Linked DNA regions of Rhinolophus ferrumequinum. The protein of the gene in region 2 purifies or fractionates together with the protein of the main gene of each other region. This does not show direct contact. Links are inferred from orthologs where the notes say so. Each region holds a gene or a part of one and is shown on either strand. Other genes may lie near its edges.

What was found. The genes of interacting proteins can lie anywhere in the genome.
Region 1: the proteins of CAPN1 (region 2) and CAPNS1 purify together in Homo sapiens (co-immunoprecipitation; 4 studies listed by BioGRID and IntAct, counting the BioPlex papers as one, with this or other methods). This does not show direct contact. The link is inferred for Rhinolophus ferrumequinum from reciprocal best matches to the Homo sapiens genes CAPN1 and CAPNS1.

The regions. Positions count from the first base shown.
Region 1 is NC_046298.1:36,387,367-36,394,954, reverse strand, and holds the start of CAPNS1 (calpain small subunit 1), read right to left. Parts: upstream 3,001-7,588; 5' UTR 2,897-3,000; intron 2,187-2,896; 5' UTR 2,169-2,186; coding exon 1,948-2,168; intron 994-1,947; coding exon 960-993; intron 688-959; coding exon 598-687; intron 429-597; coding exon 371-428; intron 278-370; coding exon 213-277; intron 1-212. UniProt on the Homo sapiens protein: Regulatory subunit of the calcium-regulated non-lysosomal thiol-protease which catalyzes limited proteolysis of substrates involved in cytoskeletal remodeling and signal transduction. Essential for embryonic development.
Region 2 is NC_046294.1:6,445,208-6,452,648, forward strand, and holds the start of CAPN1 (calpain-1 catalytic subunit), read right to left. Parts: upstream 3,008-7,441; 5' UTR 2,376-3,007; intron 1,896-2,375; exon of another isoform or gene 1,748-1,895; intron 1,098-1,747; 5' UTR 1,097-1,097; coding exon 830-1,096; intron 705-829; coding exon 635-704; intron 370-634; coding exon 251-369; intron 1-250. UniProt on the Homo sapiens protein: Calcium-regulated non-lysosomal thiol-protease which catalyzes limited proteolysis of substrates involved in cytoskeletal remodeling and signal transduction. Proteolytically cleaves CTBP1 at 'Asn-375', 'Gly-387' and 'His-409'.

The DNA of each region.
Region 1 (7,588 bases), on a different chromosome or scaffold from region 2:
ATATCTTCACGCATATGGGTGTACCCTGGCACACATACGCATGTGCACATACCTATGGCAGTTATAATAAGCTTGGGTTCTTAAGCCCCGAAGACCTGAATCCAAATTCCTATCCTTCCACTTTTTATGAAAGCTACATCCTGGCTCCCACTCATGCTCGCAGAAAACTCCCTCTTCACACAAGGCCTCTCCCATACTGCCCTTAAGGATACATCCATCACGGCCACCATGCTGCGACATGTGTCAATGCCAAAACCATCAGTCTTCAGATCTGGGTCTGTAGGGGACAGGTTGACAGAGGCCAGAGGTCACAGCTACCCCAGCTGCCATGCCTCTAAACCTGCCCTATGGGTTGACCCTAGTCACTCACGTCGGGTCACGACCTTGTTGAGAATGTTCATGAGTTCTGTGGCGCTGACCTCCATGTCCTGCAGGGAGAAATTAGGGGTAGATCAGGGGTGACTGAAAGGGGTCTAGGAGTGTCATGAAGGAGGATAGGAACTTTTGGATTGCCATGGTTGAGTGTGTATGTGCAAGGGCCATCCAAGGGAAGGCATGGAAGGGTTAGGACAGGTCTGGGGACCCCGGGTTACTTACCTCTCCAGCCAGCTGGGCAAATAGCCTCCGGAACTGCCGGACTTCCTCACTCTCATTGGCCTCGACATTGGAGTAATGGGTTCGTGGGGGCTACAGAGGGAGAAGATCTCAGAGCAAGTAAGGGGAGGGGCAGTACAGGCCTAGGTGGGAAAGTCAGAGTGGGCAGTGTAGCTGAGTGATCAAAGGAATGAGAGGTGGTCAGTGAACAGGGAGTAGGTAATAGCTAAGTTTGAGGACATGGAAAGGGAGAGACTTAGTAAGAGGGATATCATAAGAGGGAGAGGGGCTTTTCTAAAGGGACATGGAGGGATGCTGGAAAAGGCCTCTTAGTGAGAAGTCATCAGTTGTGGAGGTCGGCTTACCGGGGGCTCTGGGTTGTACTGCGCAGCCGCCTCGCTGGAGGGAAACGGGAATTAGCGCCAGGGGGCGGGGCGTCCAACTGGCAGCGCCAGCCCCCACACCTCAACCTCCCCAAACCCCAGCCTGCCACCCTTGGCCTGCCTTATCTGTCCTTGTCCTCACGTGTCCCTATCCTTGCTGCCCTGATTGCACCTGCGAGGAAACTAACAGGCTCAGCCCCCTACGGTGGGCTCCACTCCTACCAAGATTCCTCAATAGACCCAGCCCCCTGAAGGGCGTACTCTATAAAAGCTGCCCCAGCTTCGCGGGGCCCCGCCCTCCTCAGGTTCCATGTCTGTCTAGGAACCTACTCCATCCCTAGGGCTTCCTGAATGCTTGTGTCTTCCCAACATCCCACCCCAGCCCCATTATTTCCTGCCCCTTCGAGGGATCACTGCTCAGTGGCCAAGACTAATTAGGTCCCTAATTAGGCGAATTAGACAACCTGCCCTACTTCCACTACGACATTTTTCTATTTTAATCCAGCCAGTTTCCGGTAATGCCGTGCCCCTTCAAAACCGTTTCTCCTATCTCAGTAGGCCTCGGCCTCTTCAGGGCGCAACTTCTCATTTATCCACTTAAAAGTCCACACCAAGCCCACTTGACAAGCCTTGCCCCCACGAAGTGACACCCAGCCTCACTGGCTCCGCCCCCTTAACGTTCGTTTCCAGATTAGCGGAAGCAGGCGATATCCAGCCTCCCTAAGCCCCACCTCCTAAACCCCTGCCGGGACCCATCAACAGTCAATCGCGTCTCCCTAAAAATCATGTCAAGCCCCGCCCTCATAAACTGCGGTCAGCCTCATTAGGGCCCGCCCCCTCAAGGCTGGCCTCCCAGCCCAGGTCCCGCCCAGCCTAATTAAGGCTCCAGGTCAATCTCCAGGTTACCCCATTCTATTCTTCCCGGACAAGCCTCCTCCGCCAGACCCCGCCCCCTCAGGCCCCGCCCTACCTGATGGCGCTAATGACCCCGCCCAGGATGCGCATGGCAGTTCCACCACCGCCGCCGCCGCCGCCGATGCCGCCGATGCCGCCGCCGCCGCCGCCGCCACCGCCTCCGCCGCCGCCTCCGGCCCCGCTGATCAGGCCTCCGAGTACATTCCCCAGGCCCCCGCCCAGGCCTCCGCCTCCCCCTCCACCGCCGCCTTTCAAGAACGAGTTAACCAGGAACATGGCTACGACTCAAAGTTCCTAAGGAGGAAAAAGGGGTCAGCTGGCCTCCTCGCCCAGAGCCCGCCCCCTCCCCACAAAAATACGCATTTCTGGCAGCTGGACGTAGGCAGTAATATGAGGCCTCTAGGGGAGGACCAATCTTCCGGCTGGGGCTTGAAGAGTCCATTCGGGATGGGGTCTGGGCTTCTGAAGGAGAGCAGTTCTCGGGTGGGTGCGATAGGGACAGAGGATCAAGTATGAAACCTCCTCCAGACTGAAAGGGTCCCGGTCAGACTTGAGAGGCCTGGATTGAGTCTACACATAGGCATCATTAAGGGTAGGGGTCCAGGTCTGGTTGGGTTCTCGGGGGTCCCAAGTTGGTATAAGGCATCCTGGACGTGTCTGGACGCCCAAATCTGAGTCCCAGAGCCCAAGAACTGAACTAAGGGTCTTGGGCGGTTCAGGGGCGTGGATCAGATTCTCGGCCTGGAGGCCCCCGGGACAAGGTTTGGGAAATCCAGGATGTGGGTTTGAAGGTTTAGGTACTCCCAGCAGCGGGATTACAGTGTCACCGCCGGGTCTGTGGGCTCCGGTCCAAGATGGTGGGTGTAAGCCCCGGGCCCGGGATAACGGGGTTCTCCATTAGAACTGGGAGCACGGATCTAGCCGGGACTTTAGGGTCTTGTAGGGTCTGGGAGCCGTAAAGGCCGGGATTACGGAGTACAGGGGGGTCTGGCCCGGGCGCTCACCGCCTGTCTTACACGTCCGCTGGTCCGCTCCTCTGCGCTGCTCCCGGGCCTCTGGCTGTGTCCGGCTTGGTAGGGCGGGGCCCGTGACTCAGGCGACTTTGACCGGGTTAGGCTCTCGGGGGCCGCCCAGACAGCATCCGCGCGGTCCTAGCGCGGTCCTTGAAACTGCGCCTGCGCGCGCGGGCCCGGCCTTGCTAACGGGATGAGACCGCCCGGGCCCAGCCCAGCATTCTTCCGGCGCCGCGGGCTGTATCCCGGCCGTGACTTCATAGGTCTGAGGTTGTCCCTACATCTCGCCAGCCCGGTGAAGACACCCGGGGACGAGAACTCCAGAGTGACACCGCAGGTTGTAATGGGAATGGTCGCCCCGAAGCCGGCCTCCACCCGGCTACAGATGTGATTTTCTGTCGGCTCGAAACGGGACTCTTGGCACCCGGCCCCTATCCTGGCCTTGTTGCGACAGACAACATCCTAAGACCCCGAGTTTTATTTGGCTCACAGTCCGGGAACAAGCATCCGCATCTGGCAATGACTAAGGGTAGACTAGCTTTTCCCGGACCTTGTAGTAGCCAGGATGGTAGTCAGACTGCGGGTAGGACTTCGCCGCCTAAGAAAGCGGCCTTGTGCCCTCCACCCGCATTCCTTCACCCCCAAGTCAGGGTCACCAGAATAATTTTTCCTGAAGAGGCCCAAAGTGTCACCTCAGTCTCTAAAGTGGAGCCCGGACATAGGAAGAGTGTCGGCCAAGACCTGGTGTCCCAGGCTACCCTTCCCAAAGTCGGGTGATGGGCGCGAAATGAAGAAACGTAGGGAAAGTGGTAACTCAACCTGCCTTTAGAATCCTTTCTGTTGCTCTCCGGTTCCAGACTCCAACCTGTGCACATCCAGTACTTTTTCAGGGCTCTTCAGAAGGAGCTAAATCTAGCTACTGGGCAGTCTGGCCATCTGGCCATTAGCCTCTCCCCTGGAGGCTGGCTAGGCTTGTTTGAATCCTGCTTCTGCTCCCTAATAACTGAAATACGAAAAAGTGATTTGAAGTCTCTACGCAAAGATCTTCTAATCTGTAAAATGGGAACAAGTTTTCCCATGGCCCCCTCACAAGGCCCCTATCATAATTAAGTGATTAAAGCTTAGTAAATAGTAGCTCTTATCCTGTGTCTGTAACCACGCTCTTCCCTCCTGCTCACCTGGATTCCTCAGTTGGTTGACTCTTGCTCATCCTTAGATAATACTGATAAAAATAACTGCCACGCACTCTCCTAACCACTTTACATGTATCAGCTCATATATCCTCATAACTTTTATGGGATGGATGCTACACACTCTCCATTTTACAAATAAGTAAACTACCTCTGAAGTTAAACTCCCTAGCTCGTACTGGTAACCACTACCCTAATGAACTGATTCTTCAATAATATAATTAATATGAAAATAGCTCAGATAAGATCAAAATAGACAAAACCCACAGTCAACAGCTAATACTTCCTGAGGGCTTGCTGGGGCCAGGTCAAGGAACTCCTACACAAGCCTTGTCTATGAGGCAGGAACTAATAGGAGAGAAAATGGAGGCTCTGAAGGCAGGGTCACTTGCCTGAGGTCACAGAGGGTGTCATGACCAGGTCTGAAGCTAGGCTTGGCTCATGCCAAAACTCTTGGTGATGACTAATCCAGATTCCCGTCTCACCACACCCTTCCCTGCCAGACTGAGCAGCTTCTGTTCTCTGCCCTCTCCAGGGCTCACTTGCTGCCAGGCCTTCAATATGGACTGTGCCATCTACCTGGAACACTTTCTCCCTTTTTCACCTGGTTTTGTATCTCCTCAGGCTTTGGGTGTCAGCTGAGGTGTTACCTCTCCTGGGAAGCCCTCCCTGTCTCCACCCCCATCTGAGAGTAGGTGTGGCGTCCAGTTACATGCTTGTAACTTGTTCTTTCTCTTAGCACTCACTGCCAATTACAATCATATTGTGGTCCAGGTCTGTGTCCCCGACCTTTAACCCTGGCCAACTCCAGGTCTTAGGCCTTGGTCCACCTCTCTAACCCACTGAAGCCATAGAGGATCTCCCTCACATGCGTAGCTTAAATTCCATCCCTAGGCTATCAATACCCAAATTTCTATCTTCAGCCCAGGCGTCTCCAACCTCCTATATCTTGCATCCTACTCACCGTCTGTATAGGGGTCTTAGAGGTGCCTCAGGTTTCACACATCCTAAACAGCTCCTGACCTTCCTCCCAAACCTGCTTCCTCCCCACCTTCCCCACCTAGGTTAATGGCATCTCTGTCCTTCCAGTGGCTGAGACCAAACACCCCAGGGTCATCCTTGACCTCTTTCACACCCACTCCAACCCATCAGCAAACCTCTTCGACTCTACCTACATAATCTAAACTCTTCTCCTCCTCCACTCCTCCCCAACCCCCACCTCCATCCTCTGCCTCCTGGACCTCACGGGCACCTCCTCCCCAGTCTCCTGCTCACATCCCTGTCCCCACAGTCTGCTCCCCACAGGCAACCAAAGGGAGCATGTGAACCCGTGTCAGGTCAGGGCCCACCTGGCTCATAGCCCTTCCTAGACTGCACCTCACTCCAGATAAGAGTCAAAGGCCTCACCATGGGCACCAAGTCTCTAGTGCTCTGTTCTGTCTCCTCTCTGCCCTCATCTCCTCCCTCTTAAGAAAGTGGGAAGAAGCCCTACTGGCAGCTTGACCTGGATGTTCCCAGCTGAACACGGACAAGACACAGAGGAGGAGGCTCTGCCAGCACATCAATGTCTAAGCAGGGGGCCGCTACTCCATTACCAAGGCCCTCTCTAGCCCCACCTCAGTGCCTCAAGTATGCACATCTAGTGACCTCAGGAAGCCCCACACTCCCTATCCCACTCCACACTGCTCTTTATCACCTGCTAACGTACTGAGTGGTTTACTTATTTACCTAGTTTCTTGTCTCTCTCCCCCACTAGAATGTGAGCTCTTCAAGGGCAGGGATTTCTGTATGTCTTGTTCACAGCTATGTACCCAGTTCCCAGAACAGTGCCCAGAACATCTTAGGTACATAGGTATTTGTTGAATGTATGAAATACTTTGTGTGGATTTTCTCATTGAATTTTCAGCACCGTCAATGAGATAGTACAGCAAGCATTACTAAAGTCTTCCACCATCTTCCGGACTCCTTTAAACTCAGGCATGGTTATGTGACTTGTTTTGACCAATGAAATGTGAGTGGAAATGTTGGAAGTGTCACTTCCCAGTGTAGCATTTAAAGCCAGTGCAGGATGCTCCGGGCTCTTACCTCCTTCCTAGGCAACCTTGGGAGAGCTATGCAAACACAGAGCTGCTGCACAAAGGAAGCTACCCGGATCACGGAGCCATGGCATGGAGGACTTGTGCCTGTTTCTGTGAGCAAGAAATAAATTTTGAGGTGTTAGTCCACTAAGATCTAGGGCTCATTTGTTACCACAGTGTAACCTAGCCTATTCTGACTGTTGCAAGTAGATGTTGTTATGATGTCCATGAGGAAACCAGAAAAATGGAATTACTTGTCCAAGATTACACAGCTAATAAATACTAGAGTCAAGATTCAGACCCAGGAAAGCTGGCTTTGTAGCTCATGCTTTTAATCCTCACAATTTGCTGCCTCAATTATATTAATGTTACAATGCTACCAAGTAGGAAACTCACAATAGTCATGACTGTCCTAACTAATGCCTCCTGAGGGCTTGATGGGACCAGATTAGAATAAGTAATTTACAGGTACGTCTTGGAAGGCCTCTCACAACCTTCTGAAAAAGGAACTAACATGAGAGGAAGTGGAGGTTCAGAGAGGTGGAGTCATTTGCCTGCGGCATGGCAGAGCCAGGTCTAAACCCAAGCATGGTTGATGCCAAATAGTTATGTGATGACTATTCCAGATTACTGTACCTCCTCTGCCCTCCCTTCAATGGTGTATTAGTCAGGGTTCTCCAGAGAAAGAACTAACAGGCCATAGGGAGAGAAAGAAAGAGATTTATTATACTCGTATACACCCTGAGAGCAATTTCCCATGTCCCTAAAAATATAATTTTTTGTGTTTTCATAATATTCCATCCTCTGAAAGTTACTAGAATTTTTTTCATTCATTCATTCATTCATTCAACACACATTTATTGAGTGCCTACTAAATCCAGGCGCCCAGATGTGTGATGGGGATGTAGTGGTGAACAAAACTCCCGGGGCTTATGTCCTAGCAGAGGAAGACACACAATAAACAAGGAAATAAATAAACAATGTAACCCTTCTCTATTTTCAGATAAAGCATGTCCCAAAATATGTGGCAGAGATTGGCTAATTGCTTGACTAAAACTGCTCCCCTTTTTTCTTCCACACAAGAATTACATTTCCCGTCATCTATTGCAATTTTGTATGGATATGTAACCGACTTAAGGCCAACGGCATGTGAGCTGATGTGTCATATCCAGTCTCCAGGCTTGACCTTAAAAACCTCCCACAAGTGGTCTTCACTTTTTTCAACATCCATGGGCTCAACAGAGGGGACTCTGAGGACCTAGAGGTGGGCAGAGCCACAACATGGAAGGAGCCTGGGTCTCTGCTAGACTCTGTGGAGCAGAGTGACCCCACTGACTTACATTGGACTGTAGTGTGAATTAAAATATAGACTTATTAAGCCACTGAGTTCTAAAGTTTCTTCAGTTAAAAGCAGC
Region 2 (7,441 bases):
TTCTACTCTTCCAAGCACTTTGTCCCCAATACACATAACCACCCAGGAGAACTGCCAGCCAAAATACCTGCCCAGCCATTTCATACATGACGGATCCAAGATGGCACCCAGAGGTCAAATACTTTCTAGAGGGAGGGTTGACCCCTGCAGGGTGTGGCCCTGAGGCCCCCTAACTTCAGACTGCAGTGGGTCATCAGTCCTTACCTCCTCTAGTGCCTGCTACCACTCTCTCCCCCACCCTGTTCCTCACCTGGAAATGAAAGATACCGGCATAGCCATCCTGGAAGCTTTGGCCATGTGGAACCACTCGGTGCAGGAGGGTGTCATTGAGGGTGAGAGAGGCAATGGCAGCCAGGAGCCAACAGTCCCCTGGGATGGGAGACTCACATCAGGTTGCTGTACTGAACTGCTCCTGGTGGGGCACATGCGTACCCATGCTGGGGAGAACCCGGGGATCCCTGGGAAGTATACCCCTCAACTTACGGAAAAAACCCAGGAATCTGGGCAAACCAGCCCCAACACTGATAGCCAGAGCCTGCCTGGGCTTGCAGGAGGGAGGGGTTGGGGCAAAGCCAGAAGGAATGGGCATGGGGAACTCCTATGGAAAAAACATCCAGAACCCCTTAGGGCCTACCCAGCGCTCCCTGGCAGATATCTGTGCGGGTGGCTCCATCCACGATGAACTGGGGGTTGGAGAGCATCTCCTGCAAGAGACCCAGAGTCCTGTCTCTGGGCCAGCCCCTCACAGAAAGTGGAACCCAGCCACCCCACTCCCCATTAGGGACCTGGAGTCCTGTTCCCATTCCTCACCCAGGGTAGCCCCTCTCACCGTGGGACGCTTCCACCTGATGCCATAGGTTTTGGAGGAGTTGGGGCCCAGCTCCTTGAAGCCCAGGCTCTGGGGCACTGGGGGAAAGGCGTCATCACGGAAGAGGGCCCCACTCTGCAGACATTGAGCCCGCAGCTGCTCGTAATCCTGGCCCAGGTACTTGATGGCGTTTTCATGGCGGCCCAGGCCCAGCTCCTTGGCCCGCTGCTTCTGCACTTGTGCAGACACCCCAGTGCAATACACTGGGGTGATAAACTCCTCAGCCATGCTACAAGACAGATGGGTCTGCTCAGAACTCAGGCCTTCCCAGGACTAGAACTCAGGGGGCTCCTGCCTGCCCCTGCCTACCCTTCCTCCCTAAACCTAGAACTCAGGACTCGCCACTGGCCTCTGCTCCCAGGAGAGGGGCTTTCCAAGCTGGGGTTGTGCTGGCCACCATCTCCCTACACCCACACAATGCTACCACCTCTCCTTTCCTAGATGCTTACTGTCCTAGGCCAGCCAGCTAGGTGGGGCAGGGCTGAGCTCGGGATAACACAAGGAACCGGCAAGGTGGGAGATCTCAGGAAACGCCTCTGACCGTTTGCCTGCCTGCAATCCCCTCATACTAGCCAAGCTCCTACCCACTGGCCCCTTTCCCTGGCTTTGGGGCTGAAAACGACAGGCAGTCAGGGTCCCCTCCCAAGCCCCTGAGACAGGTTGGGTGATCAGGGCACGGGGCCTCATTCTTTTCCCCTCCCGGCTTTCCCCCAGCCCAGCCTTTAGAGGCAGCTAGGGCAGGCTCCTGGGCTGTAGGGCTTCAAGGGCCCCCGCCCCTGTACCCGGCGGGCGCTCAGAGAGCCCAGGGCAGGGGCAGCCTCTCAGCCCGGGAGCAGTGGCCAGGATCGGAAATCCTGGCCCCGCCACCCAGCTCCTTACCTGGAGGAGGAGTGTTTTGGGGGGTCGCTGTGGTCCTGCGGCTGGCTTCCCGGGTGGCAGCTCAGGGCAGGGCCCAACCAGGAAGAGCGCTCCTCCCCGCCCTCCTCCCGCTGCCCCTCCGCCCTCCTCCCTCCCTCCTTCTTCTTCTCCTTCTCCTCCTCCTCCTCCGGCTCCTACCCGCTTCCTCTCTATCTCCCTTATCTCTGGGGCACCTTCTGTATCTCTCTTACTCACGGTGTCTCCCTGCCCCTCCCTCCGCAGGCCCACGGCCAACTCCGCGAGGACAAATTAGTAAAAGGCAGAGTTGTCCCTGGGGAGGGGCCAGCGCCTGTTGGGTGGGGAAGGCTGGGGCCGAGACGGAAGGGCACTGCGGGGGGGGCAGGGCAGGGCAGGGGGTATTTTTAACCAGGGGCAGCAGCTCGAGTTGCAGGGCCGGGCGGCCCCACCCGACACTGCAGCCCTGGAGGGCATTCCCGGGCGCTGGGCCGCGGCGGCAACGCCTCTGGCAGCCCCCAGCCTGTCCCCCGCCCCTTGGGCTCCTCCCTTGGGCCCCTCCTCCACACGGCCACAGCCATCCTTACCCCCCACCCCCACCCCCAGTGGGTCCCCAGCGCGGAGCTGAGATTACCTCCGGCGGCAGCAGCTGCTCGGCGGAGGGTCCGGGCTGGCGGTGAGTGGACCCCTGCCGGACGCTCGGCAAACGGCAGCCCCACCTGGCTCGGTCCGCTCTGCAGCAGCTGCAGCCGGCTTCTCGTGCGGGGCCGACTCCCCACCCTGGCTACCTGGGGAAGAGGCTCCCAGAACCGCCACTCCGACTTAGCGGCTCCGTGAATCCGGGCCGGGAGCAGGAAACTGGCCCCCTAGGCCGCGCCTTGTTGTATGACCTTGGGTGAGTGCCTGCCTCTGTCGGCCTTGGCTTCCCGGTTCGTGCAGCGAATGGGACGGAGGTGAACAACTGTAGGGGCCCACTTTCCTCTTGCGCTGTGGGGTTTCTTAAACCGGCAAACTGCGAGAGGCAGACATCCTCCCTTTTCCCCTTAGCCCTCGACCCACTCTCCTGGGAGCGCCCATGTGTGGTCTTACCCTGGAGGGGGCGGCAGAGGCTGCGAGCCGGACTGTAGGCCCACCTAGAACGGGAGATCCTGCCTACGGAACTGTAAGAAGTGGAAGAGCTAAGAAAAGAAATTGGGGGTTGGGGTACTCCTGTGGTTCCTCCTCTTCAGGTCCTTTCTCTGACTTTGGGGACACTAGCCTAGCCGCTGTTGTAGCTCTTACAGGATGTGTACACAAATATTTTGTTGGGCAAACGGTGCATGGCTCTCAGGATTTTACGACCTGTGACCCCAACAAGGTTGAGCCACTCATCTAATCTGACCCCACTGTTGCTCCCAGTTTACATATGAAGAAAATTGAGGCCTGCGAGGGTGTGTCTCGCTGAGCTACCTCACCTGGTGAGTCAGGGCCGGAACCAGCTCCTGGGCAGTTTGCTTTTCACAATTCAGCATTTGTGTGTCCAATAGTGACTAAACCCTTCTGGCAGGTCTTTGCACAGCAGACACCCATGACTAGGCAGACCAGCCCCTGCTGGGGGAGAGGGCTCTCCTGGTCCAGTTTTGGGGATTAAGAAAAATAATTCCTGATGGACAAGTAGGAGTTAACTACCGTGTTTCCCCTAAAATAAGACCTAGCCGGACCAGCAGCTCTAATCAATCTTTTGGAACAAAAATTAATATAAGACCGGGTCTTATCTAACATAATATAAGATAAGACCGGGTCTTATATTAATTTTTGCTCCAAAAGACACATTAGAGCTGATGGTTTGGCTAGGTCTTATTTTCGGGGAAACACGGTAGGTAGTGAGGTGCTGGAAAAGGTGTCCCTAGCAGAAAGAACACCATGTGCAAAGGTCCAGAGGCCAAGGGCACACATGCCAATGAGGGAAACTAAGTATTCCTTCCTTGTGATTAGATCACAGGGAGCAGGGGCCTGGGAGAAGAAAGATGCTCTGGACAGATGGTAGCAAAGGTTACACCTCCCGCCAAAGCACTCTGGCTCAAGCTATCTGTGCCACAATCCCCAGAATTACTTTCATAAACCTGTCACTCCTGACTGCATTCCATTGTTCATCAAATGGGCACTTACCACCTCATATGTGCAAGGCACTGTGATCCCCTGGGCATAAGAGAGTGAAGACCCATGGCCTCGGCCCCCTCTGAAAGAAGCAGAGAGCAACTCAATTATTACCCCAAATTACTTGGGAAGAAGATTTGGTACTAAGGAAGCGCATACCTGCATCCCTATCTAGTGTAGGGGTTAGAGTAGGCATAAATCAGACACAGGGAGTTATGGCAGGAGTGGGGGAGATTGCCTTGGCACAGCAGAACAGAAATATGCTTAGTGTTGCTTGAGTAAAGAGAGACAAGGCTGAGTAAGTCATGGGAATTTAGATTTTATTCTACTTGAGGTGGAAGACTGCTCAGATTTATATAAATGAAGGAGGAGAATGCATGGGAGTGGGTTGGATGGGGTGAGAGTGGAAGTAGGGAGTCCAGATAAAAGACCAGGGAAAGAGAATGGTTGGCTCAAACTAGGGAGGTGGTGGGCACAAGAGAGAAGTAGATGGATTTGATAACTATTTAGGATACACCATATCAAAATATAACTCACACTGGGTTATACACCTAAATGTAAATGCTAAACCTATAAAGCTTCTAGAGGAAAGCATAGGCAAAATACTTAATGATCTTGGGTTTGGCAAAGATTTCTTTTTTTTTTTTTCCTTGTTTTTTTTTAAAGATTTTGTTGGGGAAGGGGAACAAGACTTTATTGGGGAACAGTGTGTACTTCCAGGATATTTTCCAAGTCAATTTGTTGTCCTTTCAATCTTCGTTGTGGAGGGCACAGCTCAGCTCCAGGTCCAGTTGCCCCTTGTTAGTTGCAGGGGGCACAGCCCACCATCCCTTGCGTGAGTCGAACTGGCAACCTTGTGGTTGAGAGGATTCGCTCCAACCAACTGAGCCATCCGGGAGCTCAGCGGGAGCTCAGCGGCAGCTCAGCTCAAGGTGCCGTGTTCAATCTTAGTTGCAGGGGGCGCTGCCCACCATCCCTTGTGGGACTGGAGGAGTTGAACTGGCAACCTTGTGGTTGAGAGCCCACTGGCCCATGTGGGAATCGAACCGGCAGCCCTCGAGTTAGGAGCATGGAGCTCCAACCGCCTGAGGCACCGGGCCAGCCCAAGATTTCTTAACTATGATACAAAAAGCACAAACAATACAAGAAAAAATTAAATTGAACTTCATAAAAATAAAACACTTGTTCTTCAAAAGGTACTATTATGACAATGAAAAGACAAGACATAGACTAGGAGGAAATAATTGAAAAAATTATATCTGATGAAGGACTTGTATTTAGAATATATAAATAATTTACAACTTAAAAATAATCCAATAAAAATGGGCGAAAGATTTGAACAGACATTTCACCCAAGAAGTTATATGGATGGCAAATAAGACATGAAAAACTGCTTACCGCATCATTCACTGGGGAAATGCGAATTAAAACCACTAGAAGGACCACCATTACACATCTACTAGGACAATTAAAAAGACGGACTATACCAAGTGTTTGCAAGGAAATAAATACAGGAGCTGGGACTCTCGTACGCTGCTGATGAGATTTCAGAATGATATTCCCAGAATGACCACTCTGGGAAACAGTTTGGCAGTTTCTTAAAAAGTTAAACATATAGTCAGTGATAAGTAGAAATGAGCTATCAAGCTACAGAAAGGTGGTGGGACCCCAAATGCATATTGCTAAGTAAAGGAAGCCAGTATGAAAAACGACATACTGTATAATTTCAACTACATGACATTCTGGGGAAGGCAAAACTAGAGATAATAGAAAGAGCAGAGGTTGTGGAGGTTCAGGAGAGCAGGGGGGGATAAGTAGGTGCAGCACAGGACATTTTTTTGGGTAGTGAAACTACTCTGTATGATACTGTCACAAACCCACAGAATGTACATCAAAAGGGAACTCTAAGGTAAACTATGAACTTTAGTTAATAATAATGTATCAGTATTGGTTCATCAATTGTAACAAATGCATCACACTATTGCAAGATGTTAATAATAGAAGAAAGAGTGTGCGGGAGGGAGAGGGGAATATATGGGAATTCTATTTTCTGAGCAATTTTTCTGCAAGCCTAAAACTGCTTTAAAAAATAAAATCTGCCTTAAAAAAAGAAAGAAAAAAAATGCTAAACATACACTTACCATATGTCCCACCCATTCTACTCCTAGGCATTTACCCAAGAAAAATAAAAGCAAATGTCCACATATTAGTAGCATAAATATTAGTAGCAGTTTTACTTGTAATAGCCCAAACGAGAAACAAGCAAATGTTTATCTACAAACTGAATGGATAAAAAAATTCTGATCACGTATATATACATATACATATAATTACATATATTAGAATACTACTCAGCAATAAACAAGAACAATAATGGATGAATCTCAGAATAATTTATACTGAATGTAAGAAGCCAGACAAGAGTACATACTATATAATTACACTTATATGAAAATTGTAGTAAAAGAACACCAATTTAGTGACAGAAAACAGGTCGGTGATTGCCTGGGGGTGCTGGCAAGTGGGAAAGGGTGGGAGGGAGTGATTATCAAGGGCTTGAGGATACTTACTGCGGTGATGGATATGTTCATTATCTTGCCGATGGTAATGGTCTTATGGATGTATACATGTCAAAAAATGTACCTTTTAAAATGTACATATACATGATTTCTTGTATGTCAGCTTTGCCTCAATAAATTTGTTGAAAGCACCAATATGACTTAATCACTCGTTAGATATGACTTTTGGCAGACAGGGAGGGATCAAGGACAACTTTAGATCCTTGATCTGGCTTGACCCTTGTCCTGGGGGGGGACTCACTAAGTTGGGGGACAGTGGAGGATCAGATTTGGGGGTAACATTGGGAGCCACCCAATCCATGGGGAGATGCTTGAGATGGGAACAACCCTCAGAATAGAGGTACAAATTTGGGAGTCACTGGCCATTGGTGCCATCTGAAAGAAGTAGAGGCCAGGGGACAGACACTTTATTCTGAGTATAAAGATACTTCATAAAGATGTCAATTCTCCTTAATCTATAGATTTATTACAGTTAAAAATTATTACAAATTTTTTTGGTGGGGGAGGAATAGAAAAGCTGATTTAAAGCTCATATGGAAAAGTAAACAAGCAAGAATAGCCAGGAGACCTGAAAATAAAGAGTAACAGGTAGAGAGTAACCCTATCCAATTTTAAAACAGAGCAAATCTATAATAATTAAATGTAATAATGAAATAAGGATACTGACACACATAGGTCATAGGAAGATAGAAAAATCTAGAAATCGATCCAAATACTTGCAGGAATTTAGTACATGATAAGCATAGCATTTCAAATCTGTTGAGAAAAGATAGGTTTTCAATTAAAAATGTTAGGAAAATAGGAGGGAATTTTGTATGTGATAAATTCCAGATGAACTCACAATTTAAATATAAAAAATTAAAACAAAAATACAGCCAGGAGCTAAGGAAGAAGCTTTGTTAGTCATCTCAGTGTAAAAAGGTCTTAATTGTCGCACAAACCCCAGAAGCCACACACAAAAAAATTGATTTTACTGTATTTAAAA